Nothobranchius furzeri: one gene and its partners. The protein of the gene in region 3 purifies or fractionates together with the protein of the main gene of each other region. This does not show direct contact. Links are inferred from orthologs where the notes say so. Each region holds a gene or a part of one and is shown on either strand. Other genes may lie near its edges.

Region 1 (10,043 bases), on a different chromosome or scaffold from region 3:
TATAATTAATGTAAAAATATTTAAATTTCATCTAGAGGTGGCCGATATCGTATATTTCTTGTCCAGAGAAAATAAATCTATCATGTTAAACTAAATGTATGATGATGTCATTGCATCTACTGAAGATCACATGGGTCATGCACCGTGGAGTTATTAGTTATCAGGGCAAACATGGCTGGAGTCTAACAGTATTGGCTCATATCAGCGATTATACTGTAATGACTCAGTCTCTGGTTGCCAGGCTACACTTTTTCAACAGAATCGCTCGTAACAGAGTATTTACTAGCATAGCAAACCAGAGCGGAAAATAACGTTGAGCTCGCCTTCAAAATAAAACATTAACCCCATGCTTTACTATTCAAACACTTACAATATATTTAGGTAATTTGGCCACTCCGGCTATCCGTAGATGTTTCCTCGTTACACAGGGAAGGGAGGGAGGGGTCCGCACAAGCAGGATGGAAAAACAGAACTCCGTTGGTGTTGAACGTCCCAAATAATTAAAAACCATGCTGCCAAATGCAAAGTTTAGAGCAGCACGTTTACCCAGAGGCTCTCAGACTGAACAAACTTGTGAGAATACGTGTAACAACCGCTTAGAGACGGAGCAACATGTCGCTAGCATAGCAGTTTGACCAGTGATATCGATATAAAGATATAAAGTCATCTTATATCTTGTTTAAAAATTACACCAATATTTAAAAAATATCCATATATCGCCCAGCCCTATTAGCAATGTGTTTCTGTCTGAAAAAGATCTTAGAAGAGACCTTAGCTTATTTAAAAATGTCCCTACCTCCCTTTAATTCTAGCGTTTGACCCCAACATGTCTGTTCTTTGTGTCTCATCTCTACTTCCTCTGTTTGACGGCTGCTACAGACGAGGCCCACTGAGAATAACAGCAACGATAAGCATGAGCAGAAGGACGAGAAAAGCATGGCTCCCAGAGTCAGTGAGGTTAGTCTTGAGCTGTGGTCCAATCCGGTCCCCCACTCCTTGATTTCAGGTGTCATCGAATGAGAAGCTGTCACAAAGCAGTCGTGTCAGACTGACCTGTTGCTGGTCTCATTTCATTTAGCTGTGGGTCTTTGTCTCCGTGTTTTCCATGCTCAGCACTTTGATGTTGGGCTCGTTTAGCCAACTTCCAAGTCTAAAATGCTCCTTCAGTGTACGTATTCCTAACCGCTTCATTTTTGAGTACATTTATTTGATCATGTGCCAAGCCTTTCTTCTTCTGTGGTTTTGATAGTGGTATTCTCATGCAGACTCGTGCAGGTGGTTCTCTTGTTTAAAGGGGGGGGCTGCAGGGTGTGTTCCAACTACAGGGAATCACACTTCTGAGCTTCCTTGGTAAGGTCTATTCAGGGGTTCTGGAGAGGAGGGTCCGCCGGATTGTCGAACCTCAAATTCAGGAGGAGCAATGTGGTTTTTTCCTGGCCGTGGAACACTGGACCAGCTCTATACCCTTAGGGGGTCCTGAAGGTTGTCACGGTATGAAAATTTAACCTCACGGTTATTGTGACCAAAATTATCACGGTTTTCGGTATTATCGCGGTATTTTTTAAACGGTGTTGCATATGTTCAGAAAGCATTGATAGTCCTGTTCTACACAAACTGAAATAGTTTTGAAAAGGTTTAACAGTGTTTATTAAACCTAAAATAACACAAAGCCTTAGCAAAAGTGCAACTTTTCACAAGTAAAGGAACAAATAGCTTCTTTTTCTGGAACATGTTACAGTAGTCAGTGCAGGTTTAAATTATACAAATCCAAACATTCAAAACATAAACAATATGTAAACAAATCAAAGAAACACCACTTGTTTTCTCATATACTTGTTTTCTTCATTATCAAAATGAAAATCTAAAACTCCAGTCCACACTTGACTTGAGCGCTGTACAAGTCAACCTTAAAAAAATATGTATTTAAAATAAATAGCCACTTTAAACAAATGACTAAAATAACTACTACACTATGTAATCAAATCCAAATGTTCAAGTATAAATGGCATTGAATAAGTAAACAAATACATGACAAGGAACTAACTGTATATTTCTCTTCATCATCAACAAATAAGATGCTTCATCCAGCAACAGGGTGTCCGTGACACGGTTTAAATGCTGCCAGAGGACGCTGCGGCTGCAGTATATAGTGACTCGTTGCATTCTCCCTCAACCAAAAGTCCTCACGTCATGCATTTCAGCTAAAATGCTAATGTTATCTTACCTTGCACTGGCTGTGGAGACGTGGGTGATCGTCACGCAGATGTGCCATGAGATTTGAAGTGTTGCTGCCTTCTGCAGACACTTGTTTCCTGCACGTTCTGCAAACGGGATAGCCGTCTTCTATTAACTGTCCCTCAGCATTTTTCAGAAATCCAAAATATGCCCATACTTCCGATTTAGTCTTCTTTGAGGGCTGATGGATGTCCTGGGCGCTGCCGTCTCCTCCTTCGGCCATTATTTCAGCTTCAAAGTTTTGGTGCCGTTGCAAATTAAAAAGTGCGTGTGCGCGCCGCGGGAACTTCAGCTGAAGCGACGGTGGCTGGTAAGGGTCACCGCGCCGAAACCGCGGCCACGGTAAACCCACCGAGATAATATAGTTTTTTAAAAACTGGACGGTTATTTTTATTGTCAACTTTTTTACCGGGGTTTACCGCTATACCGGTTACCGTGACAACCCTAGGGGGTCCTGAAGGTTGCGTGGGAATATGTCCAACCAATCTACATGTGTTTGTGGATTTGGAGAAGGCGTTTGACCGTGTCCCTCGGGGGGCCCTGTGGGGGGTACTCCGGGAGTATGGGGTACCAGGCCCTCTGATACGGGCTGTTAGGTCCTTGTATGACCGGTGTCAGAGCTTGGTCCGCATTGCCGGCAGTACGTCGTACGAAGAGAGTTGGCCAAGGCTGCCCTTTGTCACAGATTCCATTCATAACTTTTCAGGACAGAATTTCTAGGCACAGCCAAGGTGTTGAGGGGATCTGTTTTGGTGGCCTGAGGATCGATCATCTGCTTTATGCAGATGATGTGGTCCTGTTGGCTTCATCAGAACATGATCTTCGGCTTTCGCTGCAGCGGTTTGCAGCCGAGTGTGAAGCAGCTGGAATGAGAATCAGTTCCTCTAAATCAGAGACCATGGTCTTGAGTTGGAAAAGGGTGGAATTCCTTCTCCGGGTCAAGGATGAGGTCCTGCCTCAAGAGTTTAAGTATCTCAGGGTCTTGTTCACGAGTGAGGGAAAGATTTAGCGCAAGATTAATAGACGGATTGGTGCTGGGTCTGTCTTGGTTTAAGAGAGCTGAGCCGGAAGGCTAAGCTCTCGATTTACCGGTCAGTCTCTGTTCCTACCCTCACCTATGGCCACTTTTAATATCAGGTGGGTCATTATAGCTGAAGCTGCAACTAGAGTCAAACCTGGCTTGTTCTGTCATTCAGACACAATTCTGATTGCTCTACAGCCGAGAAGGACACGGGGAAACGAGCTCTAACCCTAGATCAGAGTACAATGCAACGCCAACAACCCGTTACAGTCCGTCAGTGTGTGCTGTGATGTTGGCTTCTTGTTGGTTCTGTCGCAGCAGTACTCCCACCAGATGTTTTTGCTTTGTTTCTTTATTGAACGGATCAGCCTGAGAACAAAGAAGAGGCGCAGCCTGAGAGGAGCCAGGGTCGTTACAATCTGCGCCGGAGGAAGGATGACGGAGATGTGGAAACAGTAAATGCTAAACCGGAACCCAAGCAGCAACCGGGGGCTACGACACTGGCAGCTGCTTGGGCCACACCGCCTGTCCCGCTGGATTTCGGAGGGAAGCTAGGTGGGTAAACTTTACCCTGTGGGATGACGGATATATTCCAGTATAACAACATAGTGTGGTTATCTACTCCACAGGAGCATTTTTCTGGCTGCTTTTCCTTCCAGCTTGGGTTCTGTTTCTGATTCTTCAAGTCAACCAAGAAGACCCCAGTCTGACTAACTTCCCTCCTCCTTTTCCTCCTCTGGAGACTTTCTGGGACCTCCGGGCTCTTGGCTTTGTGCTCCTCTGGATCTTGCTCCAGGCTCTGCTCTACATTTTACCGATTGGAAAGGTGAGTGAGAGGACCTGAGTCTACTGGGAGGTGGGCGGTGCTTCCGTGTCTCTGTTCTAGCATCCTTGTGAAGCATCACATGACCTGGCAAAAGGCAGAAGCAAAATAAATATAATAGTTTTTCCCGTTTCCACAAGAACCCATGCTGGGTTTCTGTCCACGTTTGAATCTACTGTTGTCTCTGGTTTGATTTTAGACTTTTGTCTCTTTCTCCGTAGCTCAGTGATGGTGTCCCACTGAGGTCTGGTGAGACACTTCGATACAGAACCAACGGTAAGTGTGTGATGCTGAGCCAGCATCGGTCTCTTTAGTCCTAACTAGAGAGCACTTCTGAACACAATGAGGTGGACCAGACCGTGCCGGGTCAGCAACAAAGGCCCAGAGGATGCAGTGAAGTTGTGTGTGTAGAACAATGTCACGTCACAGCAGAACTGCTGACAGCTCGTTCTTCAATGGGTCCAATAAATGGACAAGGTTTTTAGTTTTTTTGAACTGTGTGACTGGTAGAAAATTACTAGAAATTTGCTAAATATCACATATGTATATATACGTATATATACATATGTATGTATACATATATGTAATATATATATGTATACATATATATATGTATACATATATGTAATATATATATGTATACATATATATATGTATACATATATATATGTATACATATATATATGTATACATATATGTAATATATATATGTATACATATATATATGTATACATATATATGTATATACATATATATATACATATATATATATATGTATGTATATACATGTATATGTATGTATATATATGTATATACAGTAAATCCATTGCTCATGTTGACTTATGCTACTACAGAATAATACCGTCCAATATACACATTCCTGCAACTGACCAGAGCGTCTCACACGTAAACCAGTTTAAGACAGGCAGACATGGCAACACCAGTGACTCCTTAGTGGGGAGGGAGGAGAGTGATCCACATGGAATTACGCCTACAGTTTTAAAGTGATGCCAGTATTTTCTGCCGGGTCACATTTGGCCCATGACACCACAAATGTTACCTTTTTTTTTAGAGACGTTCAAAATTGACTAAAATTGTAAAAATCTAATTGACCCGAACACAATACAAGGGTTAAAAGAAAATGTGAGTGCTTAATAGTTGATTAGTTCATTGCAATAAAGTCTTAATTGTATTTTTAGAAGTTCTTAAAAAAAGTAAAGTTTGAGATCCCTGCATTTACCCTGTTATCACATTAGCTTAGCTTTTAATCCATATCTTACCTGACCCAAGGGTTACTTCCCTCTGCTGGGGTAATCTCCTCCATCTCATGTTGACCTCTTGTGTTCTGCTTCTGCCAGGATCACTCTGTGATGTTTGGCTGTTGCACACGAGTGTTCATGCCACACTGGGAACTCTAGAAGGTACACAGGCAGACTGCAATGACGTCTCGCCCCAGCAGGACACGCTACGTCGCCAAAAGCATACGTCCCTAAGCAGACCAATAACCAAAAAGCTAAAAAGATAGAGTAAAGCACTTCCGTTAACACTTCTTTTAGAGTCTGCTCATGACCCAGCTCTCTTCCTCAAGCCCTCGCTTTGGTCTCAGACTCAAGCTGTGGGTCTCTTTTTCCCGTCTTCCAGCTGCACATTCATCCTCCTTTACACATAAAACCCCACTAAACTGCAGAGAAGTACCGATCGGTCACAGATCGCTCCGTTATCTAAACTTTTGCCAAGAGTTCTGTCTCTGCTCCTCTTCGTGAGATCATCACACCCGCTGTCACTGAGCTTCCTCTTGTCTCTCTGCAACACTAAACACTACAGAACCATCAGTTGAAAATGTGAAATTTCCACCAACAGCAAAGCCATCGGATGTTTTTGTGTTTGATTCTTTATGCTCCCCGTCCCAAAAGTGTGTTTTCATTGGTCGGTTGCAGACAGGAATCGTAGGTTTTCAAGCGGAAGACTGTTTGGTCATGAGACGGCTCAAAAAGCTGTTGTGGAGCCGGTCACACCGTACGTGCACATACATGCAAATCACCCTCGTGGTGACCGTCTTTTGTCTCGATTCTGCTCAGGACGAGGGGTTTGGCTAAGAGCCAAAAACGACACCGTGTGAACGGGGCATGGGAGTGGCTGTGAGTGGTGCGCTCTGTGCCGTGTGTGTCAGACCTACGATACTTCTCTAATCACCTGCATGAGTTGATCGCCCATCATATGTTGGACTGATGACCAGTATCGGTTGGAAAAGGGTTCTATATTGCCCGACCCTAGTAGGAAGTCTTGTTGTTGGGATGTTATCCTGGAATACTGGGATGACTATTCCTCACTCCTCTACAGGAGTCAGAGGTTCATCTGACTACAGGCGTGCTCTTGTTGAGGGGGATGCGTCTCCTGTTCTGTGTGTGACGGTCCATGTCCTCTGTGTCCCTGTCCAGGGTTCTTTGCCTTCGCGGTGAGTGCCGCTGTGGTGGCAGCAGCGATGTACCTCGATGTGGACCTCACCTACATTCACAGCCACTTCCTGCAGTTGGCTGTGGCCTCCTTCCTCGTCTCCCTGCTCCTCAGTGTCTACCTGTTTGTCCGCGCTCGCTCTGCTGGTCTTGGAGAGCTGGCTCTGGGGGGGAACTCGGGTATGTGGAAACACCTGGAGTCTGGTGAGGCATCCACAGACGGCTAACAGATGTTTACTTGTCCCTTCAGGAAACGTGGTCTATGACTTTTTTAAAGGACGAGAGCTGAATCCTCGTATCAAAGGCTTTGATCTGAAGTTTTTCTGTGAGATGCGTCCTGGACTCATCGGCTGGGTAAGTGGGGTTGGGAGGCAGACTCCTGCTCAGTGTGCAGAGAGATCATCCTGAAGGTGTTTGAGCAGTGGCCGCTGGTGGGCCTATTTTATACTTCTCCATCAGCTCCACGAGGGAGAGATGCACATGCATCGACAGATATTTGGCTTTCAGTCTTCTCCATCAGCTGGGGGTTGTTGCAAAACAATTCGTCTGCGAGCACGTCGAAGGGCTTTTCTGTGCGTCTCCATCCCAACGCAGGCAGAGTATAAATTAGGCTTCACGAGTAACCTCAGCAATGCTTTGGATTAGAGGTCGACTGGTATCGGTTTTTCTATTGCCGATACCGGCATGAGGCGGTCGTGGTCAGCCGATAAGTAGGGATGCAACGATACCACTTTTTCCCAAATCGATACTTGGGTCTGGGTACTCGCCGATGCCGATATTTCTACCACACAAAAAAAAAACAATGATTTGGATTACAGATTTTATTTTCTTCTCTGCTTTCAACAGGAAAAGACTGGGGTAGTTAAAAAGTAAAATATATGAATGGAAATCATCACAAAACTAAAATATTGGGTGAACAGAAATGACAAGTTACAGTGAAGCTATTTTCAAGCAACTGCATTGGTATCGGTTAACTTTTACCGATACTGGTATTGGTATCGGCGCCAATACTGATACCAGTATCGTATCGGTTAACTTGTGCCGATACTGGTATTGGTATCAATACCGGTACCAGTATTGTATCGGTTGATTTTCACCGATACTGGTATTGGTATCTGCGCCAATACCGAAACCAGTATCGTATCTGTTAACTTTTACCGATACCAATACCAGTATCAGTAAAAGTTAACAGATACGATACTGGTATCGGTATCGATACCGATACCAGTATCGAATTGGTGCATCCCTACCGATAAGTGCTGCAGGTTTTTTGTCTCGGTGTCTGGCGCCTTATCTGAAACGTTAATTGTCACCAACAGTGACGGTGGGTGCACAAGAATCCCTGTAGCATCTTTTCTTCCTGTTTAGGTCCAGTGGACCGCGTCTTGATTCCAACTAACTAGACGTGGAAATGCTTTAAAATAGTTGCGCAGTGTCGTCGTCACTTTGTGGTTCAGTCTGGATGACAACAGGAAGTGCTACGTTTATTTTTCACACGTTGGATCGCTCTTAATTGTGACAACAAGCCAGTAAGTTTCTGTTTGAGGATCAGCTCCTCTCGTATAAACGTTAACGCTCAATGAACCGGGTTCTCGGCCAGTAAACATCTGTGTTCCTGTTAGCGCCGATAGCATCGCTGCTAGTTCCGTCTGACTGGCTGAGACTGTCTGAAAACAGCTGACTACTTTACTCCAGTAAAACATGCATGTAGCCAGATGGATCAATGTAAATAATACCTGAATGATGTTAATTCTAGCATTATTCATAACTCTGGAACATCTGGATTTAAATTTATTTTCATTCAACCAAGAAGCAGCAAGAGGTTTTTAAAAATGCTTTTATTTGAATAAACAAACACGCTCCACCCTCTCGGTCTGCCAGGCAGCTGCTTTTGTTTCATTCTTCAAAGAAGGGGGTGGAGTAAGACTCTGGCAGGGGGTGACTTGCTCTTTACAGACATGAAAATTCCTCACCCATCGGGAAAAATTGCCGTTTTGAATCCAAAATGGGTCACCTGCGTGATTCGTGCAGATGCTAGGAGAAAATATTTGGGGGGCGGGATACAGCGAGGTCGGCTTTTACAGTTAAACGGTTTTTAATATTATCCACTGGGTTTAAGACGTCCCTGACACCACCGACAGCAGAAAAAAGTTGATGAATCTGTGACGTGCGACCAGCGTGAACGCCTCTATGGCTCCTGTCCGGTCTAGACCTCCAGACGGCTTTTCCTGCTTGTGAGATCCGAGCCCGACGGGTCGGATCAGACTTGGGTCGATGAATAATTTAGCCAGCCTCCTGCTGGTGGTATTATTATCATTATTATCATCACAAATATAACATAAACATGTTGTAGGTTTAGGATTCTTTATGGTTTTAGTGTTTTCAGCAGCAGAGCCTGGTCCGTTTCCTTTGGGTTCAGACAGAATAATAAACATTATTATTTATCTTATTTCATCCGTCATTTATTTAGTTTTTAAAGCTCAAATTTTAAGTTGCTAATTTAAAAACAATCATTTAAATATAATTAAACAACCTGTTAAACAGCAGGTTGGAATCTGCTCACTAACATGTTCCTGTGGGACACCCCCAGACCAACCCCCATCTCCTGATGTCCTCTCTGTCCGGCTCCATCCTCAGAGCTGAGGATGAGACAGGGACACGTGGTAGACAGGCTTTGCTGCCCTGAGTCCAAACAAGAATCTCTACTTGATCAGGTGTGTCTGAGCAGGGACACGTAGAAAACATGCAGCCACTGTGATCTGCTCCCCCGGTTAATGTCCTAAATCACTGCTACTTGTGTGTGTGTGTACGTGTGTACGTGTACGTGTGTGTGTACGTGTACGTGTGTGTACGTGTGTGTGTGTGTACGTGTACGTGTGTGTGTGTGTACGTGTGTGTGTGTGTGTACTAGGGCTGGGGGTAAACGATTATTTTTAAAACGATTATTCTGACGATTATTTTATCGAATAGTCGACTATTCTAATGACTATTTAGAAAATTAATCTAATGATTATTTTTCTATTGCACAATTAACAAAAACCAGAAAATCTCAAATAAATTCCTCAAAAAAATTGATAAATTCTTACTGTAAGAGAATAAACACTACAGGCCTTCCATTTTGTATAACACTGCGTTTATTGTGTTGCGGTTGGTTATGTTCTGGTGACGTGTAGAACTTGGGAGAGCAGGCTGCTGCCTGAGAGGTGGTAGAAGATGGAGTGTCTCCATGCTGCTTTGTTTTGGTCACTTATGTGCGTGAGGCGAGTGGTCTTACGGGTTAAACCAAACTCAGGTGATATTTTACACTAAACCGAAAACCCACAACACTCTAAATGTAATAAAAGGGAGATCTACACCACAAAAAAGATGAACTCTAAACCAAAACGTAACTGCTTATCCCAACGCAAGAAGCTGTTAGCGAAGATGCTAACAGTAGCTTTACCAACGTTAAGTTCAAGTTACCAAGTTTAAATAAACCAAAAACACCCAGCAGCAAACAGACCAGCATGGA
Region 2 (10,810 bases), on a different chromosome or scaffold from region 3:
ACAGATAAAAACCATCCATCCCTTTTCTGTCAGTGCCGTTTGGAGATTTCATGCTTTGTAGACCACAGATCTGTTATAAAACTTTTAAAAATGTATAATCTGTCCCATTTAAGGTAAACAAAAAAACCATCCATCCATTTTCATCCGCTTATCCGGAGTTGGGTCGCGGGGACAGTAGCCTAAGGCGAGAGGCCCAAACTTCCCTCTCCCCAGCCACTTGGGCCAGCTCCTCCGGGAGAATCCCAAGGCGTTCCCTGGCCAGGTGAGACATAGTCCCTCCACCGTGTCCTGGGTCTACCTTTAGGTCTCCTCCCGGTTGGACGTGCCTGAAATACCTCACCAGGAGGCATCCTGACCAGATGCCCGAGCCACTTCAACTGGCTCCTCTCGATGTGGAGGAGCAGCGGGTCTACTCCGAGCCCTTCCTGAATGACCGAGCTTCTCACCCTATCTCTAAGGGAGAGCCCAGCCACTCTTCGGAGAAAACTCATTTCGGCCGCTTGTATCCGCGATCTCGTTCTTTCGGTCACTACCCAAAGCTCATGACCATAGGTGAGGGTAGGAACGTAGATCGACCGGTAAATCGAGAGCTTTGCCTTCTGACTCATAGGGCTGTAGCGAATCCTCGATGACGTCGACGGCTCGATTCTAAAAATTCGTCGACGTCAGATCCGGTAGTCGACGCACTGCGCCCACTTGTTGCATCCCCAGGAGTTTGTAAACAGAGGTGGAATCTGCCCGTTTTTCCTCTAGTTCGCCCTCTTCTCCACCTTCACTAACATCTCCACCAAATACCGAAGACCCGGAACAATGCCCGTCCACTATTAGATTCCTCCTGTTTTGCCCACCTTCGTCTCCCGGCAACGGACAACTTCCGGGGTCAGATGCGCAGCTCCGTCTCTAGCGCAGATGTAGAAAATCACCGGGAGCGTTTCTCCCTTCATAAAGGAACTTCCTTCAGACATTAACGAGAGCTGTTTTGGTGGTAGCAGTCTCTCCTCCGTGCTGGTCTGTTTGCTGCTGGGTGTTTTTGGTTTATTTAAACTTGTATCTTGAACTTTACGTTGGTAAAGCTACTGTTAGCATTTTCGCTAACAGCTTCTTGCGTTTGGATAAGCTGTTACGTTTTGGTTTAGAGCTCATCTCTTTTGTGGTGCAGATCTCCCTTTTATTACATTTAGAGTGTTGTGGGTTTTCAGTTTAGTTTAAAATATCACCTTGAGTTTGGTTTAACCACCCAGTTTAGAATTTGGACCTTTGGAGATCCTTATTTTGGTCCAGAACCCTGTAATCTTTGCCCAGTGGGACATCCCTACTTATTTGTACTTTTGTTTTAATTCCCCAGAGGCAGAATTAGTTTTATTAATTCCCAACCTGTGGATGGAAAGGTTTATGTTTTTTTGTAGTTGTAAATAAACCTGATCATCACTTTAACTTTTAAATCCCGTGTTGTTGTCCCTTCCTTTTTGCACACGAGCCAAACTCCCCAGGAAGGGTCGTAACACCACTCGCCTCACGCACATAAGTGACCAGAACAAAGCAGCATGGAGACACTCCATCTCCAACCACCTCTCAGGCAGCAGCCTGCTCTCCCAAGTTCTACACGTCACCAGAACATAACCAACAACAACACAATAAAAGCAGTGTTATAAAAAATGGAAGGCCTGTATGTTTATTCTCTTACAGTAACAATTTATCAATTTTTTGAGGAATTTATTAGAGATATTTTGGTTTTTATTAACTGTGCAATAGAAAAATAATCATTAGATTAATTGTCTAAATAGTCATTAGAATAGTCGACTATTCGATAAAATAATCGTCAGAATAATCGTTTTAAAAATAATTGTTTACCCCCAGCCCTACTGACTCAGCTCTCTCTTCACCACGACAGACCGGTACAACGGCCGCATCACTGCAGATGCAGCCCCAATCCGCCTATTGATCTCACGCTCCAGTTTTCCCTCACTCGTGAACAAGACCCTGAGATACTTAAACTCCTCCACTTGGGGCAGGACCTCATCCCTGACCCAGAGAAGGCACTCAACCCTTTTCCGAATCAAGACCATGGTCTCAGATTTAGAAGAGCTGATTCTCATCCCAGCTGCTTCACATTCGGCTGCGAACTGCTCCAGCAAAAGCTGGAGATCACGTTCTGATGAAGCCAACAGGACCACATTATCTGCAAAAAGCAGAGACCTGATCCTCAGGCCACCAAAACGGACGCCCTCCACACCTTGGCTGTGCCTAGAAATCCTGTCCATAAAGGTTATGAACAGAATCGGTGACAAAGGGCAGCCTTGGCGGAGTCCAACTCTCACTGGGAACAAGCCCGTCTTACTGCCGGCAATGCGGACCAAGCTCTGACACCGGTCATACAGGGACTTAACAGCCCATATCAGAGGGCCTGGTACCCCATACTCCCGGAGTACCCCCCACAGGGACCCCCGAGGGACGCAGTCAAACGCCATCTCCAAATCCACAAAACACATGTAGACTGGTTAGGCAAATTCCCACGCACCCTCCAGGATCCCCCTAAGGGTATAGTGCTGGTCCAGTGTTCCACGGCCAAGATGAAAACCGCATTGCTCCTCCTGAATCTGAGGTATAACAATCCGACGGACCCTCCTCTCCAGAACCCCTGAATAGACCTTACCAGGAAGGCTCAGGAGTGTGATCCCCCTGTAGTTGGAACACACCCTGCGCTCCCCCTTTTTAAATAAGGGGACCACCACCCCGGTCTGTCAGTTCAGTGGGACTGCCCCCGATGTCCACGCGATATTGCAGAGCCGCATCAGCCAACACAGCCCCACAACATCCAGAGCCTTAAGGAACTCCAGGCAGATCTCATCCACCCCTGGAGCCTTGCCACAGAGGAGCTTTTTAACCACCTCAGTGACCTCAGCACCAGAGATTTGAGAGGCCAACCCAAAGTCCTCAGACTCTACTTCCTCACTGGAAGGCGTGTTGGTGGGATCGAGGAGGTCTTCGAAGTACTCTGCCCACCGATCCACAATGTCCTGAGTAGAGGTCAGCAGCACACCGCCCCCACTATTGATAGTGTTCGTAGCGCACTGCTTTCCCCCCTGAGGCGCCGGATGGTGGACCAGAATCTTCTCGAAGCCGTACGGAAGTCTTGCTCCATGGTCTCCCCGAATTCCTCCCATGCCCGGGCTTTTGCCTCGGCAACCACCCGAGCCACGTTCCGCTTGGACTGCCGGTACCCGTCAGCTGCCTCTGGAGTCCCACAGGCCAAAAAGACCTGATAGGACTCTTTCTTCAGCTTGACAGCATCCCTAACCGCCGGTGTCCACCAGCGAGTTTGGGGGTTGCCATCACGAAAGTCACCGACGATCCTGCGACCACAGCTCCGGTCGGCCGCCTCAACAATGGAGGCACGGAACAGGGTCCATTCAAACTCAATGTCCCCCACCTCCCCCGGAACATTTTGGAAGTTCTGTGGGAGGTGGGAATTGTAGCTCCTTCTGACAGAAGACTCTGCCAGATGTTCCCAGCAGACCCTTGCGATACGTTTGGGCCTGCCTGGTCGGACCGGCATCCTCCCCCACCATCTGAGCCAACTCACCACCAGGTAGTGGTCAGTTGACAGCTCTGACCCTCTCTTCACCTGAGTGTCCAAGACATGCAGCCGCAGGTCAGATGAAACGACAACAAAGTCGATCATCGAGCTGCGGCCTAAGGTATCCTGGTGCCAAGAGCACATATGGACACCTTTATGTCTGAACATGGTGTTCATTATGGACAATCCATGATGATGATGATGATGATGATTTGATTCCGTTACAACTGGTACATAAGTCCAATAACAAAAACCACTCAAATTCAGATCGGGGGGCCGTTCCTCCCAACCACACCTCTCCAGGTCTCAGTCGTTGCCCACATGAGCGTTAAAGTCCCCCAGCAGAACGAGGGAGTCACCGGAAGGAGCGCTTTCCAGCACCCCCTCCAAGGTCTCCAAAAAGGGTATGTAGTCTGAACTGTAGTTTGGTGCATAAGCACAGACCACAGTCAGAACCCTCACCCCACACGTAGGCGGAGGGAGGCTACCCTCTCATTCACTGGGGTAAACTCCAACGTACAGGCACCAAGATGGGGGGCAACTAGTATGCCCACCCCTGCTCGGCGCCTCTCAGTGGGAGCAACTCCAGAGTGGTAGAAAGTCCAGCCCCTCTCAAGGAAACTGGTTCCAGAGCCAGAGCCATGCATTGAGGTGAGTCAGACTATATCTAGTCAGAACCTCTCAACCTCACACACCAACTCATGCTCCTTCCCCACCAGAGAGGTGACATTCCATGTGCCAAGAGCCAGCTTCTGTAGCCGAGGATCAGACCGCCAAGGTCCCCGCCCTCGACTACCACCCATCACACATTGCACCCGACCCTTTTGGCCCCTCCCATGAGTGGTGAGCCCAAAAAAAAAAGCCAGAAACACAAAATAAGTCTGTGCGTACCTGGTTGGCTGCATTTAGCAGAGTGTCTCGTTCCTCCAGTTTCTTGTTCAGACCTTCCACTTTCTTACACAGAGAACTGTTTTCCTCCAACTGCTCTGACAAGTTCTTTTTGGCTTCGGTCTCCCTTTCCTCCAATTTTCTAATGCGCCCCAAAAGTTCTTGATTCCGGTCCACTTCATGCTGGAAAAAAGAAAGAAAGACGTAAACAAGGTGGATAAAAGAACACTGAAGAAAACTCTGTGTGTAGTACATCTAATAAAAACACATCAACCAATCATTTTATACTGTGATAAATCAATGTGCTGCTATATTTGAGTTGTGTACCCCCAAATCTCGTGCACTTTCAGAGACCGCCTTCTCCAGCTCAAAACGAGCTCTTTTGTGACTCAGTTCCATCTGTTTCTTTTCCTGGTCCAGCTGTAGATAGCGATGCTGAGTGTGAACCCGCTCTGCTGCTTCCAAAAGCTAAAACAAAGACAAAAGAATTAACCTGCCTTATAGCTAAATATTGATTTTACTAGAATTGACGATAAAGCAAAGGATTTCTGTTTACCTCCATTTGGCGTTTGTACTGATTTTGCAGGTTTCCACTTTCCGCTGATCGCTCCGACTGCAGCTGAGAACGTTCAGGGCGACTTATGAAGGTATTGAAAGACCTCAAAGTTGTTAACACAGTAGTGTCATCTTCAAAATCCATTGTATAGACCACTGGTGTTACTGACTGCACACAATTTAAAAAAAACTCTGGAAATGAAAAAGATTGAAACATCAGAACTTCCTCAATGACAAACACGGACAAGAGCATAATTTCACATAAGTACCATATTTAAAAAATGCTGTAAACCTAAAACTAGCTAGAAATTTTTGCATTAGTATTAATACACAGCTATTATTAGTCAAATACACCAACTAATTTTAAAATGTATTTCTTATCTCTCCAATAAAAACGTCAATTTTGCATATAACAAGGTTAGTTGTAGCAATTTTCAATAAAAGTAGAGAAAAACTAAAACTCCGTCCTTTAATAAGCAGTCACAACACTGTCTTTACCATCTATGTGTGTGCTCTATTGCTTAGCATGTCTTTGTAAAATTACAAACAGAATAAAGTGCATATCAACTTTATAACGTGGATTTGTAGCATAATCATTCATTAGCTTCCTTGATTAGCTCAATAATGGAAGCAGAACAAGTAGCAAACAAGTAGATAGAATGTCTAACATGTAGGCTATTTGATTCGTTTTCAAGTTCGGTTTTTCTGCTTTTTAAAGATTTCCAAGACGGTGAGGTTTTGACTGTTGTTTTTAGCCATGGACTAGCTACACAAGCTAAACATTAGAACTAACGGCGTTTATGCAGCTTCTCAAAACACGTCACAAAGTTATTAATGTTAAAGTTTTCATCAATGTACAACTTTTGGCAACATAACACCGTACCACATAAACGTCTGTAAACAGGTGGAGGTCTGTCGCAGATAAGTTATCCCCACTGCTAACGAGTTAGCACTTTAGCTGCTCGTTGGAAAGCCCTCCAGTTTTACTCGAATGGGATGCACGTAACATCGCGAGACTATCATTCTCTATCTTTTTCTTTTTTCCTGTTAATTTTCTGTGGCTTCAATTCAAATGTATCATTCGTGTTTTGTAGCAATGTTCAGAAAAACTAAAATAAAAATACAAGAATACAGCAAGTCAATAGAAGTAATAGTTTTTTTTTTTCATTTTAATTATTAAATGAATTACATGACTAAAGCTGTTGGGCTTTTCTGTGACCAAAAGGACATTTCAGTAGGCTAACTCAAGGATGTGTGTATATTCTATTGCATAGATTTTTCTAGCCTGGCCTACCTGACTCGTCCTCTGTTTAATTCTGCACAGAAAACGAGTAGAATTAAACAGAGGAGTCTTGCTGGCCAGGCTAACATTTTTCTGCATAAAGACAAAATCCCTAATTTGTGTAAACTTGGAAACAAACCTAAATCTGATTTTATTTAAATTTTATTTACCACAGAAATTCCAATATATTTAAGAATACTATTGACCTGCACATTTGTGTATGCTTTTGAAACCTAAAATCAGGGCTTACAAGATCCGGGAACTATCTTATTTTGAAAGGACTGTTCTGGCCACTGTCTGCTAGGATCCGGCGACTCACGCAACAAACTGGAAGCCCTCAACACACACCCAGGGGGAGCCCGAAACGATCCTGGTTCTACTTACAGTGGGGCAAAAAAGTATGTAGTCAGCCACCGATTGTGCAAGTTCTCCCACTAAAATGATGGCAGAGGTCAGTAATTTACATCATAGGTACACTTCAACAGTGAGAGACACTGATTTACAAATAAATTCTTTAAAAATCCTGCCATGTGAATTCATGGATTTTTTTTCACATTCTGTCTCTCACAGTTGAAGTGCACCTATGATGTAAACTACTGACCTCTGTCATCATTTTAAGTGGGAGAACTTATCGGTGGCTGACTAAATACTTTTTTGCCCCACTGTATATTACATTGTCTATGTGGATTCTCCAGGGATATTTAATTTAAGTAAGAGCTGAGAGGCGCAAAGCTCTGATCATTGGTGCGCTCCAGACAGACGTGTCCTGAGCACGGCCACAGTAACATTCTCAAAGTGTCGCCACCTCAAAAACAAATTTAACACGCAATTGTTTATGCCTGCTCATATCCTTTCATGCTTTCTGTCTTTTATTTGTGCCTGATGCGTTTTATTGCTGCGGTGCAGAGCGCATCACCTGTTTAGTCCTCCAGTGAATTCACCTCACAGGTGCGGTCAGCGCTCACTCCGCTATTTTCGCGGTCGGTAGATCGTTTTGAACTGTAGTTCAAAGGTAACTCATGAAGTGAAAAATATGAAAACAGGTAACAGTTTTTCTTTAGGATTGAGGGGGGATGCAGGAAGATAATAAACAGACAGGACAGAAAATAGTCACATAAAAAACAAGTTTGTTTTCGTATCGGGTGGTTGCTACAAACAGACACCAATGAAGGTAATCAGAAGTGAGGAACAGAAAATGAAATAATTATTTCAATGTTTAGATCAGCAGGAACTCTGAGAGGCTGCAGGTGCATCAGTGAGTTTGCGGCCGCTGCACAAAATCTAAAAAAGAACTGAAAACCTACAGGACACATAATGTAATAATAAAATACATAATGGGTTCATATATGAGTGTTTAATGTCGCTGAGCAGCTTTAGAGTCAAATATTTATGCCACAGTTCAAGAATGTCAGAAATGACACCAAATGAAATGTTTGACTTAGATATTTTATTTGAACCCAGTGGTCTCATTTCTGAAATGTTGGAGAATGAATCAAGTTCTGTTTGATGCAGAAAATAATAAAACATAAAACAAATTCTACACTTCCAATAATATTTAAGATGTGTGTTTTATTCTTCCTGATAATAACACCAGCAGAAGGCTGTGGGCTGGATTAGGATTAAATTACCCAGCTGATGGATCTCTTTCACTAACCAGCTAACTACAAACCTTTCCACTAACCTGTCCTGTGTGACCCTCACCATGTAACCCTCATGTCCATGCTGTCTCTGGAGGAGCAGAAGACAGACCTCCTGTAACCTAAAATGAACCAAAGCTTCCTCCCAGTTTTTTTAATTGAATCTAACATCAGTTTATCATCATGAAACAAAAGAATAAAGTGGAACAAGAACTTCTATCTTCTATTTCTCTCTCCTTTTAACTTCTCAGTGTCCCGAAATAAAAAAGAGACAGATGATCACGCTGCAGCCGCCATCATTGACCCGGTGTTGTGCCATAAATCGACAGGCTGCCAAAAAATGATTAGCCACCGTGGCATGGACGTAATTTTTGGGGGGAGACAGGGGGACATGTGCCCCCCCCCCCCCCACCACCACCACCACCACCACCACCGCCACCACTTTTTCCAAAGTCAAGTTTTGACCCCTGCACTTTTTACCATCCAAAAACAATATTAGACCATATTAAATTGACACTGGTTGAGCTCTAGGACCAAGCGGAAAACAACCATTTGTGTTGAAGCCTGTTTCCCATTAGAACACACTGTAAATATAACCCCCTCCTCGTGTCCCCTCCACCGCGGGATCGCGCACGGTTAGGGTAATTGCATTTCTAGACGAAATTCCCCAGGATTTTGCCTGAAAACTCAGCATATGTAGCAATATGGACATTCAGAAAGCAGAGATAACCTCGTCCGGTACTTAAACAGATGTTTATCGCGGATATTAGTTTTTCCAATTCGGAAGTTGTTATAAGTGTTGCTATTTGTCTTAAACGTTCACAATGAGGATATATTAATCCTTTTTGCAATATTTGCCATTGAAAGATGGTTTGTGGTAAGAACTGGCTATCTTTATGTTACAACCGTGATACTAAAAAATAAATAAAATATGTAAAATGGCACCCTGTATTGAATGTAAAGTCAAACGTTGTATAAATGCACATAAACAATTTTCCAGCGATTTGATTTTTTTCCCCCTTCCTTTCTTTAGTCCACTTGACATGGAGCCACAGTTGTAACTAGTTTGGGGCACATTTTTACTTGAAAAATAGTATTTAAACTGATCAAGCGTTGACTTTACAATGACACTGTGTAAGTTGCTATCTATAAATTACTTTACTCTATTTAAAAGTAACAAGATAAAAGCACTTCAGCACATAAAATTAAGATTGTCACTTGCCAAATAGTGACTATACCCTCCTGTTTACCTATAAGAAATGCCTAAAAATATCTTAAAATTTTTTATTGATGATTTAATTGTAGACAACAAAAATGGCATTTTACTTGCCAAAAAGTGATTGAATCGCTCAGTTTTTCACTGAGGCTAAAATTGACCAAGTAAGGGTTTTATGAATTATCTGCTGATGTTACTGTACTCATACTGTCTACTGTATCATCATAAACACCCCAAAAATGGCAAAAAAAAAAAAAAAAAAAAAGATAATTTCCCTTGCCAAAAATTGATTACAGGGTCCTGGTCACATGTAAAGGGTTAAATTTACCTAAACATTACCTTATTTATTATCTCTTGATGTTCTTAGTCGCATCACAGGATGCTGGGTCTCTGCCACATTCATAAACACCCCAAAAATGGCAACAAATGATCATTTCCCTTGCCAAAAATTGATTACAGGGTCCTGGTCACCTGTAAAGGGTTAAATTTACCTAAATATTACTTTATTTATTATCTCTTGATGTTATTAGTCGCATCACAGGATGCTGGGTCTCTTCCACATTCATAAACACCCCAAAAATGGCAAAAAATGATCATTCCCCTTGCCAAAAATTGATTACAGTGCCCTGGTCACCTGTAAAGGGTTAAATTTACCTAAATATTACTTTATTTATTATCTCTTGATGTTATTAGTCACATCACAGGATGCTGGGTCTCTTCCACATTCATAAACACCCCAAAAATGGCAAAAAATGATCATTCCCCTTGCCAAAAATTGATTACAGTGCCCTGGTCACCTGTAAAGGGTTAAATTTACCTAAATATTACTTTATTTATTATCTCTTGATGTTCTTAGTCGCATCACAGGATGCTGGGTCTCTTCCACATTCATAAACAATTTTTGGCAAGGGAAATGATCATTTAAAAAAACAAAACTATTCCACTATAATCGATTATGGCGTACTCTTCTACGATGCAGAATCGTTTATGTCCGCATCCCGATGCATCAACTATTTGATTATTTTCCGCAGCTCTACCTAAAATGTATTTAACAGATCAAAATGTAATTTCACCATTCGTCCCACAGAGAGCAGCAAAGCTGCATCAACAAGTTTGGAGATTTTCCATCTTGAATGGGAAAAAGTGATCAGGTTAAAGACATGTCAGGAAATTGGACCCAATTTTAAAAAAAAGGACAACACCTTTTGGAGGAAAATGTGTCAGCTGTTTTGGATCACAGACACCTCAACCCAGAGTACAGGAACTATCCGTTTCAAACTTAGTTTGAGGTGTGGGTGTTAAAACATTAGCAACAGCTTGAGTTTTCATCTCAGGTGGTAGGTGATAAAAACATCCAATACCCTTCACACTCATGTAAGCCAAGTCATCCACTAGGCTTTGTGACGTTGAGTGGTGTTTTGAAGCAAACAAAATACACACTCTGTGCCAGAAAATACAAAAACACCATTTAGTCAAGTTTGGACTGACAATCATTTAACTTCAAGTAGTTGGTTCCAGAGTTTAGGGACAAAACCAAAAATGCACGGTCACTAGATTACCATTTTGTCCAAAACCACCAAGAGACCATAACTGGCTGAGCAATAAGATCTCCATGGGACATGTAGGCTGGAGCCATCCTGGCAAGAGCCTCATAC
Region 3 (10,739 bases):
CTGGCAACAGGGGGTGGCCTTTCATGCACAGGTTTATTTTAGGACATACTGGCTCAAGAAAATGAAGTACGGCTTTAATCCCAATCCGTGAACAATAAGATATGATCAGCACTAGCCAACACCAATAGGTCACTGTGTGTGTAGCTGCTTTTACCAAGAGCTGAGATCACACTCCCCAAGGTGACCAGGGACTTGTTGATGTTGGCTCCTTCCTTCAGCCTGGGGCCTGCGGTGTGGGTGGCATCAGCTCTCTCACTGCCCGCCAAGTCCACCAGGTGGATTTTACTCCGCTTCTCACGTGGCAACTCTGCATCAAACCATGCCTGTGGTATGAGGAGGGATTATGCCACATGTTTAACAAACTAGTTCAAAGCAACAACACAAACTGCGTGTTTGACCTGGGTGAAGGTGATGGTGAAGATGGCGTGCGAGCGGCTGCTGAAGTCGTTCATGCCTGTGCTGGCTACAGTACGATTGGTGTTGCCAAGACTGATCAAAGCCTCCACGTCGCCATGGCTGTGCACCACGTGCTTCGACAGATCTACAAAAGTATCTTTGTCCTCAGACTTTCTACAACAACGTATTTAAGAATAAAAAGGATAAAAATAACACGTTACTTTCTACGTAGGGTCCTTCATAGGGGTGCTCCCTCACTTTCAACCCCCCTCCATCAGTGCTTGGTGATTTCTTCTTCAGAAGGTCGTGAACACGTTCGCTGTAGATCTCCAGATAGCTGGTGCGAAGACAAATAAATTTAAAAATAATAAAAAAGACTAATTCAAGGTTTTACACAAGGACACAATGGCACAAATCTGACTGAATGGCGGAGCATCAAATGGAAACAAGTTACTTTTTAAAGCCAAATTTGAAAGTTGGTTGTTCTGGCAACAAATAAACAATTACATGCATAATAGGCTTGGCAGCGAGGTTCAGTGAAAACCATTGTTGGTTTGTGCTGTGACTAAATCAGAGTCACAAATTCAGAAACAATGAAAGGAATCAAACAATTAGGCATTAGGACCGTGCAAGAATTAACGGCGTAAACAAAGAAATGCATCTGGTGGATGTAGCCATGCATGCATCATTATGGATGTTTCCAACACTGTTGAGAACTCAATCAGGATTAAAATAGGGTTTTTACTGACTTTTTGTGAATGTTAGGAAACAAAGATCAGGAAAATTAAATAAATAAACGTACATGCTTAAATTATACCACAAATAAAAATATAAGCCTGCAAATGTCTGGGAGAAGCAATAACGTTTGCATGGGTGTTCATTTGTTTTATTTTACCTCCCAAGTCCCGAATTTGTATTTGGTGTGCGTTAAGAAAAAACACTTGTAGGCATTACAGATTAGTCGACTCTCATAAACATGCAAAAACGTTTTTTTTATCTTAATTTTGACAAACTTCTGCAGCCGCGTAGAGCGGCCACCCATGCAAAATAAAATTGGAGTAATATCACATTTGCTTTATTGTTCCAATATTATAATAATCACATTTATACAATATAAATATTATATTGTTAGAACGCGATAGTACATTGTACTAATGTGAAAATTATAAAGCTATGTTAGAACGTGATATCGCTCCAATTTATTTTGTGTGGGTGGCCGCTCCAAGTTGCTGTAAACGTCTGGAAAAAAATTTAAGCTTTAAAATGTTTTTTCTTTAAGTCAATAAAGTTCCTCTAAAAATAAAAAAAGTTTAGTGAAGGACATCAACGTCCACATATGTGGAAACCGGGTCTTAGAGACCTAGTAAATATGTGTGTTGCTTTAAAAATTCCAGCTTTTAACCTAAGAGGTGATTTTTGCCGTAATAAATTAGTTTAAGGAACAACTTTAATTTGAATTTCCCCCTTTTTTTATAAAACTGAAGACAATTCAATGTTTGTATTAAACATCTTAAAATAGTTTAAATTTTATTAAAAGATGAAGCCAATATAGACAAAGTACCTTATTTAGCACTGAACTAAATTATCAAAGGCATCAAATTTGTCAAAAAATTTTATCTGAACAATTAGGAAAGCAGTAGTGGTAGTAGTGGTAGTAATGGGTCAGGCAGCCTTGCTTTTACACCGTTCAGTCTCAGCCAGCTTGGTGAAATGTTCCCGTCTACCTTTTATTTGAAGATTCAGGTCTTGCTTCAGAAATGACATCCTTGTCTTAGATTTACCTTTTCACAGCGTTCTGTAAATATTTCATGGGGCTGAAGTGTGGGGGAGATGACGGCATCATGAATTGGTTTTCTCTGTAGAAACAGGTGCTGTGTGCGGTAAGTGATGTGTTGTGCATGAACATTTTTTCTTCCTCGTCCAGAGGGCTGAACTCTTTACAGGTTAAATCTTCAGATTTTCTCAGAAGTTCACAGATCGTTTAGGGCAAACAGTCCAGATCAGCTCTGATTTAGCGTCATGTTAGAACAGGGTGGAGATTAAACAACCACATAGTTAAAGTTTCATTAAACAGCTAAAAAATGTGACTGCCCATGTGTCTGGGCCCAGCGCACAGGCTGCATGTAATCCTGGCCGGTAAACCTCTGAAGAGTTCTCCATGTATGGCAAACGTGCCTTCATCACGTCTGATTCTTCTGGCTACGATTAAATATGTCATTTTAGTAAATAAATACTGATTTGATGCCTCTTGTGAACATTGCACTATTCTGAGGGTTTTATCGTTTCTTTATGTACAAAACTAAATATGGGACATTAAATTTATCGTTTCACATCCGCCCACAAGTCGGAAAAGGGTAGAATTCCTTCTCCAGGCCAGGGATGAGGTCCTGCCTCAAGTGGAGGAGTTTAAGTATTTTAGAGTCTTGTTCACGAGTGAGGGAAAGATGGAGCGGGAGATCGATAGGCGGATTGGTGCGGCGTCTGCAGTGATGCGGGCGTTGTACCGATCTGCTGTGGTGGAGAGAGCCGAGCCGGAAGACTAAGCTCTTGATTTACCGGTCGAGCTACGTTCCCACTCTGAATGTGGTCACGAGCTTTGGGTAGTGACTGAAAGAACGAGATTGTGGATACGAGCGGTGAGAAGCTCAGTCATCCGGGAGGGGCTTGGAGTAGACCTGCTGCTCCTCCACAGAGAGGAGCCAGTTGAGGTGGCTGGGCCATCTGGTTAAGAGGCCTCCTGGTGAAGTTTTCCAGCCACATTCTACTGGGAGAAGACCCAAAGGAAGACTCGGACACGCTAGAGGAACTATGCCTCAGGTGGCCAGGGAACGTCTTGGGATTTCCCCAGAGGAGCTGATCCAAGTGGCTGGTGAGAGGGAGGTCCGGGCCTCCTGCTTAGGCCAATTCCTCCGGGACCCAACCATGAGTAAGCGGACGAAAATGGATGGACGGATCCTTCCATAAATGTGTTGAATATCCACTGAAACTGATCACCACAACAGGTTTGAAGAAGCAACGAATGCTGAACAGAAGGCAACGATAATACGGCCTTACCTGACCTCCGTGTGAAATGAGACAGTCTCAGTTTTGCTTCTGTTGGATAACTCCAAGAACAAGCCCTCACAGATCCGTGGAATTAAACCTTTATCCACCTAAAATTGAGAAGACATCTGCCTTTACACCCGCTGAAATAGACGAAGCTCGCACTGAAATGACAATTACATTTCGATCCTATTATACTTCAGTTAATCTGGTTGTCTACACCATGCCATAACCACGACTCAGCACACACACAGACCGCTGAACAACAGCAGCTCATCAGCTGTGGAGGTAGTGAAGCATAAAAGCAATCCCAGCCGGAGCAGTACGTCCTCTTGTTTTTAATTACAAAGTAACAGACAGTAAGCATTAAGTTATATAATTATCTCTGATGTTGACAGCAACTCTGCTGATGACCTTGCACAAGTCCCCCAAGCAGAAACCTCCTAGTGTAAAATCCCTAGTGCAGTGTGTGTGTGTGTGTGTGTTGCTGCACTCATCAAAAATTCTGACTAGTGAGGAAGAACAAGCTAGTCTAATGAGGCAGCATTCAGTTGGGGTCCAAAGTGGCAAGAGGTCATCACATGCAGAGTAAAGACGGAGGTATAATAGAAGAGGTATGCATACAGCACTGATTGTTGTGAAGTCGTAAATATTGCCGTTACGCTGCAGTGTTCAGCATGCATATTGCAAGTATTTTACTTACCTTATGTCCCATCATGGTGTAAGTTTTCCCTGAGCCCGTTTGGCCATATGCAAACAAGCAGACGTTGAAACCTTCAAAAGCTGCTTTTATTACATCAGATCCCAAGTCCTGGAAAATCTGAAACAGGTGTAAAATATCCATTTTACACATTTATAGAAATAAAATGCAAGAAGTGGTTCAACACTGGTGCAAATAAGAGTTAAACAGATGAAACACAGACAGCACCTTCTCCTGGGAAGCAAACGTGGAGCTTTTACTGTCAGTTGAGTCAAAAGAGAAGTCAAAAGAAAAGATTTTGCCTCTGTCCTTCAACTTGTCTCCACGTAAAGAAGAAGGCTGAAATAAAAAAAAAATCACTCAAATGAACTCAAGTAGAATTCATTCTGTGACGGTCTAGCCTACCTTATGAATGGATGCGGTGTTCTCCTTCATATGCACAATCACCTTTGATGACAACTGTTTTTCTCTGCAACAAGCCGTGCAAAAGTTTGTTTTCTGTTTTCCTGTTAAAATAATAAGTCACTCTGTTCTACTGACCTTTTGTTCAAAGGGCGCACTCTCACCGCGACCTGAACTGAAGACATTATTAATCAAACCAGACAGACGAAGAGCCAACGTCCCGTTGCTAGAGTTTTAAGCAAACCTTGTCCTTGTTTGTTACCACCTAATCTAATCATCACACCTGGAACTGATCCTCACGTTGTCGATGCAGTGCATAAACTGTCCACTAGAGGGTGTCTCAAGCACGTTCTCCGTTTAAATGTGCCTTGGGCAAGATCAGACAATACATCACTTCATAAATATTTACTTATAACAAAAACGTTTGGTTTCCAATTGACGAAACTGTCGTTTGGTAATATTACACGTGGTTGAATCTGTAGTGTGCAAAAAACAAATATCTGAAATGTCCTGCATTCACAATTCATAGGTTAAAAAGGCATTATAAGTCCTTGCAGCTGCTACCAGAAACAGAAGGGCTGTCAAATAACAACAAACGTTTTGTGTGAACCCAAAATATGATGATGATATAAATCGTTTCTTGAGAAGTAAAATAAATGAAACAAGAATAGTTAAATTATTGTAAGAACACCAGAGTGGCGTTGGGAAGCTTATTTTTTCCGATTTTGTGCTACGTAGCTTGAATGCGACATCTATTGGATTTCCCATGATGCAGTGCGAGAAAACACCGGCGCGGACTTTCAAAAATAAAACATGGCAGATAATTCTACTTGTTCAAAACCTACATCAGTCTCGGCGGCGGCCACAGAAACGGAGACCGCTGTTGACACCACGGGTGGCGGGATAAAGGGACGGCTCTCGTTTTCACCACAGAAGGATGTTAGCGTTGATGGAGAACCCGAAATAACGCCTTTAGGCGGCAGTGCGGAAAGTGTCTCCAACGTCTCCAGTTCATGGAGCCAGCCAGAGGGAAGAGCTGAACGACTCCCGTCTGATGCCAGCGACACATGTTCAGAGACGAAAAATGATGGTAAAATAAGAGAAGAGTGTCCAGAACAACGCAGAGGGAGTTCTACTGAAGCCAAAGAAAATGCTGCTGTTCCCACAACCACGTCTCAAGGCAGGTAGCATAGAGTTAGCTTACTTTCCTGCTTTTGATCCGTTTAGGCTAATGTGCAGCTATATTTGGTTTCATACCCAAACTGTTTCCTGATCAACTTAAAATAAGCTTGTGCCGGTCAGTTTGATCAGTAGGTAACGCCTGATGATGTCAGATGTCAACATAATATTTCAAATTATTGCTTGTGGACAAAACTAAATGCAACTGACCACATTAGATGTGCCCAATAACGCCAATAAAATATACATGTGATCACGGCTAGATGGATCGGGTAATTTCAGAACAAGAGAAACATAAAACAAGATGTTTAGAAAGATACAAGTTGTTAAAGTATGATTATTTCACTAAACCAGTTAGGGTTAGGGTTAAATATTAAAACTACAACATGAGAAGCACCAAGTAGAACCGTTGAATTTTCAGCACGGTTGTTGTAGTTAGATTATTTTTAAGGATCGTCTCATTTGAAATAAGATGTTTACCTCAAAAGTCCCTTAAGCTGTGTTTGCAATGTTCTTTCTCTTTAATTTGCATTACCTCAGCTTACGTGTCATCCATCAGTCTGCGTGGTTACACCTGACGCATTTATGTTCATTTAAGGCTCTTTTCATTATTGGTTACCTAAATGTTAAAAATAAAACTAGAGAAAAGAGTCAACATCAAGAATTAGTGGACCTAGTTTTCCTTTTATGTAAACTTTGGAATTATTTAAATGAAGAAATAAATAATGCATTTATTGTAAGATGTTGTTTTTGCTAAAATGTGGTTTTTAGATTCCTGGTTTACTTTTAAAGATGCCAAAAATTGTAAGGATATTTACCAACAGATGGTCAGTTTTCAAATCTAAAAAACTTTTTTGCACATTTTTTACTAAGAATTAAATATCAGATTTTTAATTGTGTCATGTGATGCAGTTCAACATTTTATTTAGGAAAAAATTGCCACGTGCATTGCAAACCACAATTGCAAAACTCAGTTAAATGTGACTTGTTAAATGTTAACATTTGCATATTCATCTTGACTTTTTAGTAGCAAAAACAAACATCTTGCACCATTTTTCCTTGAATCGCATTTGGAAACATTTGTGACTCAAAAGCCACAAAGAGGATTGAAAATTGCTCATGCAGATTCTTTTGAAATCTGTCACATTGATGTAACTCCTTTTTCATGGCTGACACAGCACTTCCTGTGGGGTTTAAAGGTGTCCCGCTGCATGACTCTGCTCCTCCTGACTGGAGTAAGTTAAAGGAAGGACACTCGTACACATTTCTGACACTGGTTGCAGAAAGAGTTCAGCATTTAAGATCAACTCCCTTAGTGGAGATGAGTCAGCACAATGTGGTGGTGTGTTGGGTCTTGTGATTGTGTGATTTAAAAGATTTGAGTCCTGCTGAAGCACAGGTCTCATAAATCTCAATAAGATGCGACTCTGTAAGTGATTTGATCTGATTAGAATCAAAAGTAATCTTCCTCCACAGCCTGATTTCACTCCTCATGTTAGTTTTTGAGACGAGTGAGCTCATCAGGTTTATCTGAATAATGGCTCTGATACATTTCATTAACGTTGACCGTGACGGGTCCATTACGCTCTGTAATAACTTTATTCTGGTTCTGGACAGATAATGCACAAGAGGACCCTTCTGAGCCGGATTTCGATCAGACTGCCAACAATCAGCAAGTTAACACAGAGGAAAATGATGCCGAGGTGGTGAGACGAGCACGGGAAGAAGGCTGTGTGGACGTGGCCTTCCCTGGAGCCGTAACTCAGAACAGCTGCTATCGTTTCGTCAGCGAAATCCTCAAATGCATTCTCTATCAGAGACAACAGCTACCCATGACATACGACCAGCTGGTCTATTCCCAGAAGAAGCTGCATACTACGGCACAGGTAATACATAAATGTAATGTCTCACTGTCAGGTGAATTTATTGTAGATTTGAGATTAACCAACAGTGCTTGGGACGTTCTGCTTCCCAGGATAAAGATGCAGTGAGTCGGAGGCTCGCACAGTCTGCCAATAAGGACCGGCGTAAATGCCATCAGACTCTCCAGGAGATGGAGGAGGTGCTGCAGCGACTGGAGGTGCTGTTTTCCTTGAGCAGGATCCCCCGTGTTTTACTGCTGATGGGCAGCTCGGTCATCCTCCCCAAGGAGATATACGAGATCAACATGGAGGCCCTGGTACTGGCCGATGGAAGTCAGCCTCTACGAGTGTCGTCATGCTTAAGGCAACTGTTCCGCACTCTTTTTGTCGCCGACCTTTTGTCCGACACCAAACCCGTTCGCTTAATGCCCACCACAGTGTTGGCGCTGGCCCACAGGGATTGTGGTGTGGACTGGTTCCGCCCTAAGATGCAGTTTAAAGTCCCAACGCGGGTAAAAAAGCAAGTGATTGCCCTGTCTACTGACCCCGGCGCCTGTAAGAAGCTAAAGGCAGACGGATCAGACTGGCAGGATTACGTGTGGTTCCAAGCACCAATGACCATTAAGGGCTTAGCAACCGACCCTTAAAGTTAAGCAGTGTGTTGTCTGATCTTGGATCACCGCTCCAGAAGTGTAATCTGGTCAAATTTATTGGGCGTTCAAATTAAGTATTAAACTTAGCTGTGCATGTGCGTTTTCTGTCTGTTTCAAGTCACGCAGATCTACATCAGACCGTCGTGGTGTCTTACCTTTTAAAGCTTCTGATGCAGAGCGAAAGCTTCCTAAAGAGGCATGACTGGTGGGCGATTGTGTTTATATTTCTAGAGAATTACTTTTCTGGTGTAGAAAAAGAGCAGCAACACAAACGTCAGTGCAATATACCTTTACTGAACAGAACTTGAACAATTACAAAGCTTTCCTCAGTCATAAGGGAACAGTGGTGAGCCGAGGTCTGGTTCATGTTTACATCTTTGCAATAATGTGGTAAATCAAGCGATAAGACTCGCGGCGTGGAAAGGAACAAAAAAGATGTGTATGTGGTGTACAGACTATCAGGTATAATAAAATACTAAAACACCTGCATGAAACCGGGAGTACGCTTAAGTCTTCAGAGCTTCTCTACTTTTTTAACAAACTGGAAAATGTCATCCGCAAGCAGCCGGGGCTCTTCGAAGGCGGCAAAGTGGCCACCTGCTGGCATGAACGTGTAGGAACAGATGTTTCGATACCTAATCTGTGCCCACGACTTGGGGCAGTGCATCAGCTCCTGAGGGAACGCGGCCAGACCGGTGGGCACAAATATTCCCGTCCTGAAGCAAAAGGTGGGATCGTTAGAGAAATTATAAAATGAGATTAAAATTGATGTGAGCATTTGGTCTCCTACTTTGCATCGATTCGGCTCTCTGGGTTGGTCTTAAAGTTCTCTTTGTAGAAGCGCATGGAGGAGACGATGGAGCCTGTGGTCCAGTAGATCATGACGTTTGTCAAAAGGTCATCCAGGCTGAACTTTCTGTACAAAAAAGACATTTCTAGTTCATAACAGAGGGCAGCAACTGACTAAAGCATGTCTATCTTTAGTACCTCTCCAGCCCACCATCAACCAGGTCTCTGTTCGTCTTTTTAGTCCAGGTGGAAAACTTCTCCAGAATGTAGGCTGCCAAGCCCACGGGGGAGTCGTTTAGCCCACAGCCTGCAAACACAGAAGGAAATCACTCGTAGGTCGGATATGAGGATGTTTTTCTTGCCAGTCAAGCAACAACTTTAAAAATAAACAATTCTAAAGGTCCAACATCCTCAGGTGTTTCCTCTAAGCTGAGCCTTTAGGACAAAGCAACACACATACTTGTTCCTGAGGAATCAGTTGTATGTTTTTGAACTGCTATTGGCTCCTTTTCTGCCATATTTCTAATATGGCGCCTACATAACTATATAACAAGTACGTATGATGGCTAACATAATGGGGAGTTTTTATGGTGACAGTTTTAGCTTCATTGCAGCAAACTATCACCAAGAATCTGGGAAAACTCCACATCCTCCTCCCAATCGCTCTTTTGTTTTGTCATGCCGGCTTTTAATGCGTGCTCGTAGCCGAGGTAAGTGACCGACGGCTCCGCCAGTCGACGGGACAGGCTGCGCTCAGACGAGCCTGTCACCTGAATCTTTCTCAGCAGAAGCAGACTAAACTGAACTGTAACCTGAATGGAAACTTCCACTCGACACACTAGCTAGCCCGGCCCTGGCTTCTTTTCCTGTCCGTGAGCTCCAAGCTGAAAGAGGAGTGTGCAGAGGGCAGTTTGATGGATCACGATCCCATCCTTTACAACGGGACAGTCACAGTGATTGGTTGAGGTTTTTCCAGGATTGTACGTTTCAGAAGCGATTAAAGTCAATATGTGAAGAGCAATTATGGCAAAAAAGCTCCACAAACATCTGCCCCACCTTTAAATTGTGAAAATAAGAAAAGTCGTCTTGAGCCCGTCTCACAGCCTCACCTGCAGTATCTGGCTTGGTGGCCTGAATGTGAAGGTAGCCACTCTCCCTCAGTACTTCCCAGACATTCTTCTCAAAGAAAGGGAACAGCCGGCGAACATCTTCCCGACTAAAGCCCACCAGGAAGGGCAGATAGGGGCCGATGATCAAAGACAGCAGCACTTTGAACCCCCGTGTTGACATGCACATGTTCAGGTGGAGACCTTTCACACAGCTGGAAAACAGAAGTATTGTGAAACAGCTGCTTTCTGGGTTCCTGACTCATAATTACTGCTGTAAATGTGATCTTGTGGCAGGACAATGTTATCAGCTCCGTTCTTCGGGAATCTGTGCTGTCATGACTTCGTAATCATCTGCACACAGTGGAAGCATGGTTCCACAGCTGAGGAACGCTACAATGAGCTCTTTCACCAACAGCTTAGTTGAGGGAACTTTCTCAGCCATGCCGATGTGCAACATGGTTTCTAATAAGCTGGTTTTGTGCTTACTCAGGCTTCATCTGTGCCATGTTGGTGGTGATAAGCGAGCCCCAGTCTCCTCCTTGCACATAGAACTGGGAAAAGCCCAAGCGCTCCATGAGTGTCAGGAAAATCCGAGCAACAGCCAGAC

Evidence for each region.
Region 1: the proteins of mad2l1bp (region 3) and lbr purify together in Homo sapiens (co-immunoprecipitation; 3 studies listed by BioGRID and IntAct, counting the BioPlex papers as one, with this or other methods). This does not show direct contact. The link is inferred for Nothobranchius furzeri from reciprocal best matches to the Homo sapiens genes MAD2L1BP and LBR.
Region 2: the proteins of mad2l1bp (region 3) and mad1l1 purify together in Homo sapiens (co-immunoprecipitation; 4 studies listed by BioGRID and IntAct, with this or other methods). This does not show direct contact. The link is inferred for Nothobranchius furzeri from reciprocal best matches to the Homo sapiens genes MAD2L1BP and MAD1L1.

What each region holds. Positions count from the first base shown.
Region 1 is NC_091742.1:28,040,990-28,051,032, reverse strand, and holds part of lbr (delta(14)-sterol reductase LBR), read left to right. Parts: intron 1-879; coding exon 880-957; intron 958-3,624; coding exon 3,625-3,811; intron 3,812-3,885; coding exon 3,886-4,082; intron 4,083-4,300; coding exon 4,301-4,355; intron 4,356-6,517; coding exon 6,518-6,712; intron 6,713-6,782; coding exon 6,783-6,886; intron 6,887-10,043. UniProt on the Homo sapiens protein: Catalyzes the reduction of the C14-unsaturated bond of lanosterol, as part of the metabolic pathway leading to cholesterol biosynthesis.
Region 2 is NC_091744.1:8,652,089-8,662,898, forward strand, and holds the start of mad1l1 (mitotic spindle assembly checkpoint protein MAD1), read right to left. Parts: upstream 6,039-10,810; 5' UTR 5,904-6,038; intron 5,213-5,903; 5' UTR 5,166-5,212; coding exon 5,022-5,165; intron 4,934-5,021; coding exon 4,793-4,933; intron 4,649-4,792; coding exon 4,469-4,648; intron 1-4,468. UniProt on the Homo sapiens protein: Component of the spindle-assembly checkpoint that prevents the onset of anaphase until all chromosomes are properly aligned at the metaphase plate.
Region 3 is NC_091752.1:314,857-325,595, reverse strand, and holds mad2l1bp (MAD2L1-binding protein), read left to right. Parts: upstream 1-5,312; 5' UTR 5,313-5,353; coding exon 5,354-5,720; intron 5,721-7,336; coding exon 7,337-7,605; intron 7,606-7,694; coding exon 7,695-8,228; 3' UTR 8,229-8,331; downstream 8,332-10,739. Other genes in the region: uncharacterized protein kif16bb, read right to left, coding at 155-323, 399-541, 618-733, 3,451-3,548, 4,142-4,258, 4,367-4,477, 4,544-4,607, 4,679-4,725; ephx5 (epoxide hydrolase 1), read right to left, coding at 8,749-8,950, 9,025-9,150, 9,222-9,330, 10,133-10,344, 10,619-10,739. UniProt on the Homo sapiens protein: May function to silence the spindle checkpoint and allow mitosis to proceed through anaphase by binding MAD2L1 after it has become dissociated from the MAD2L1-CDC20 complex.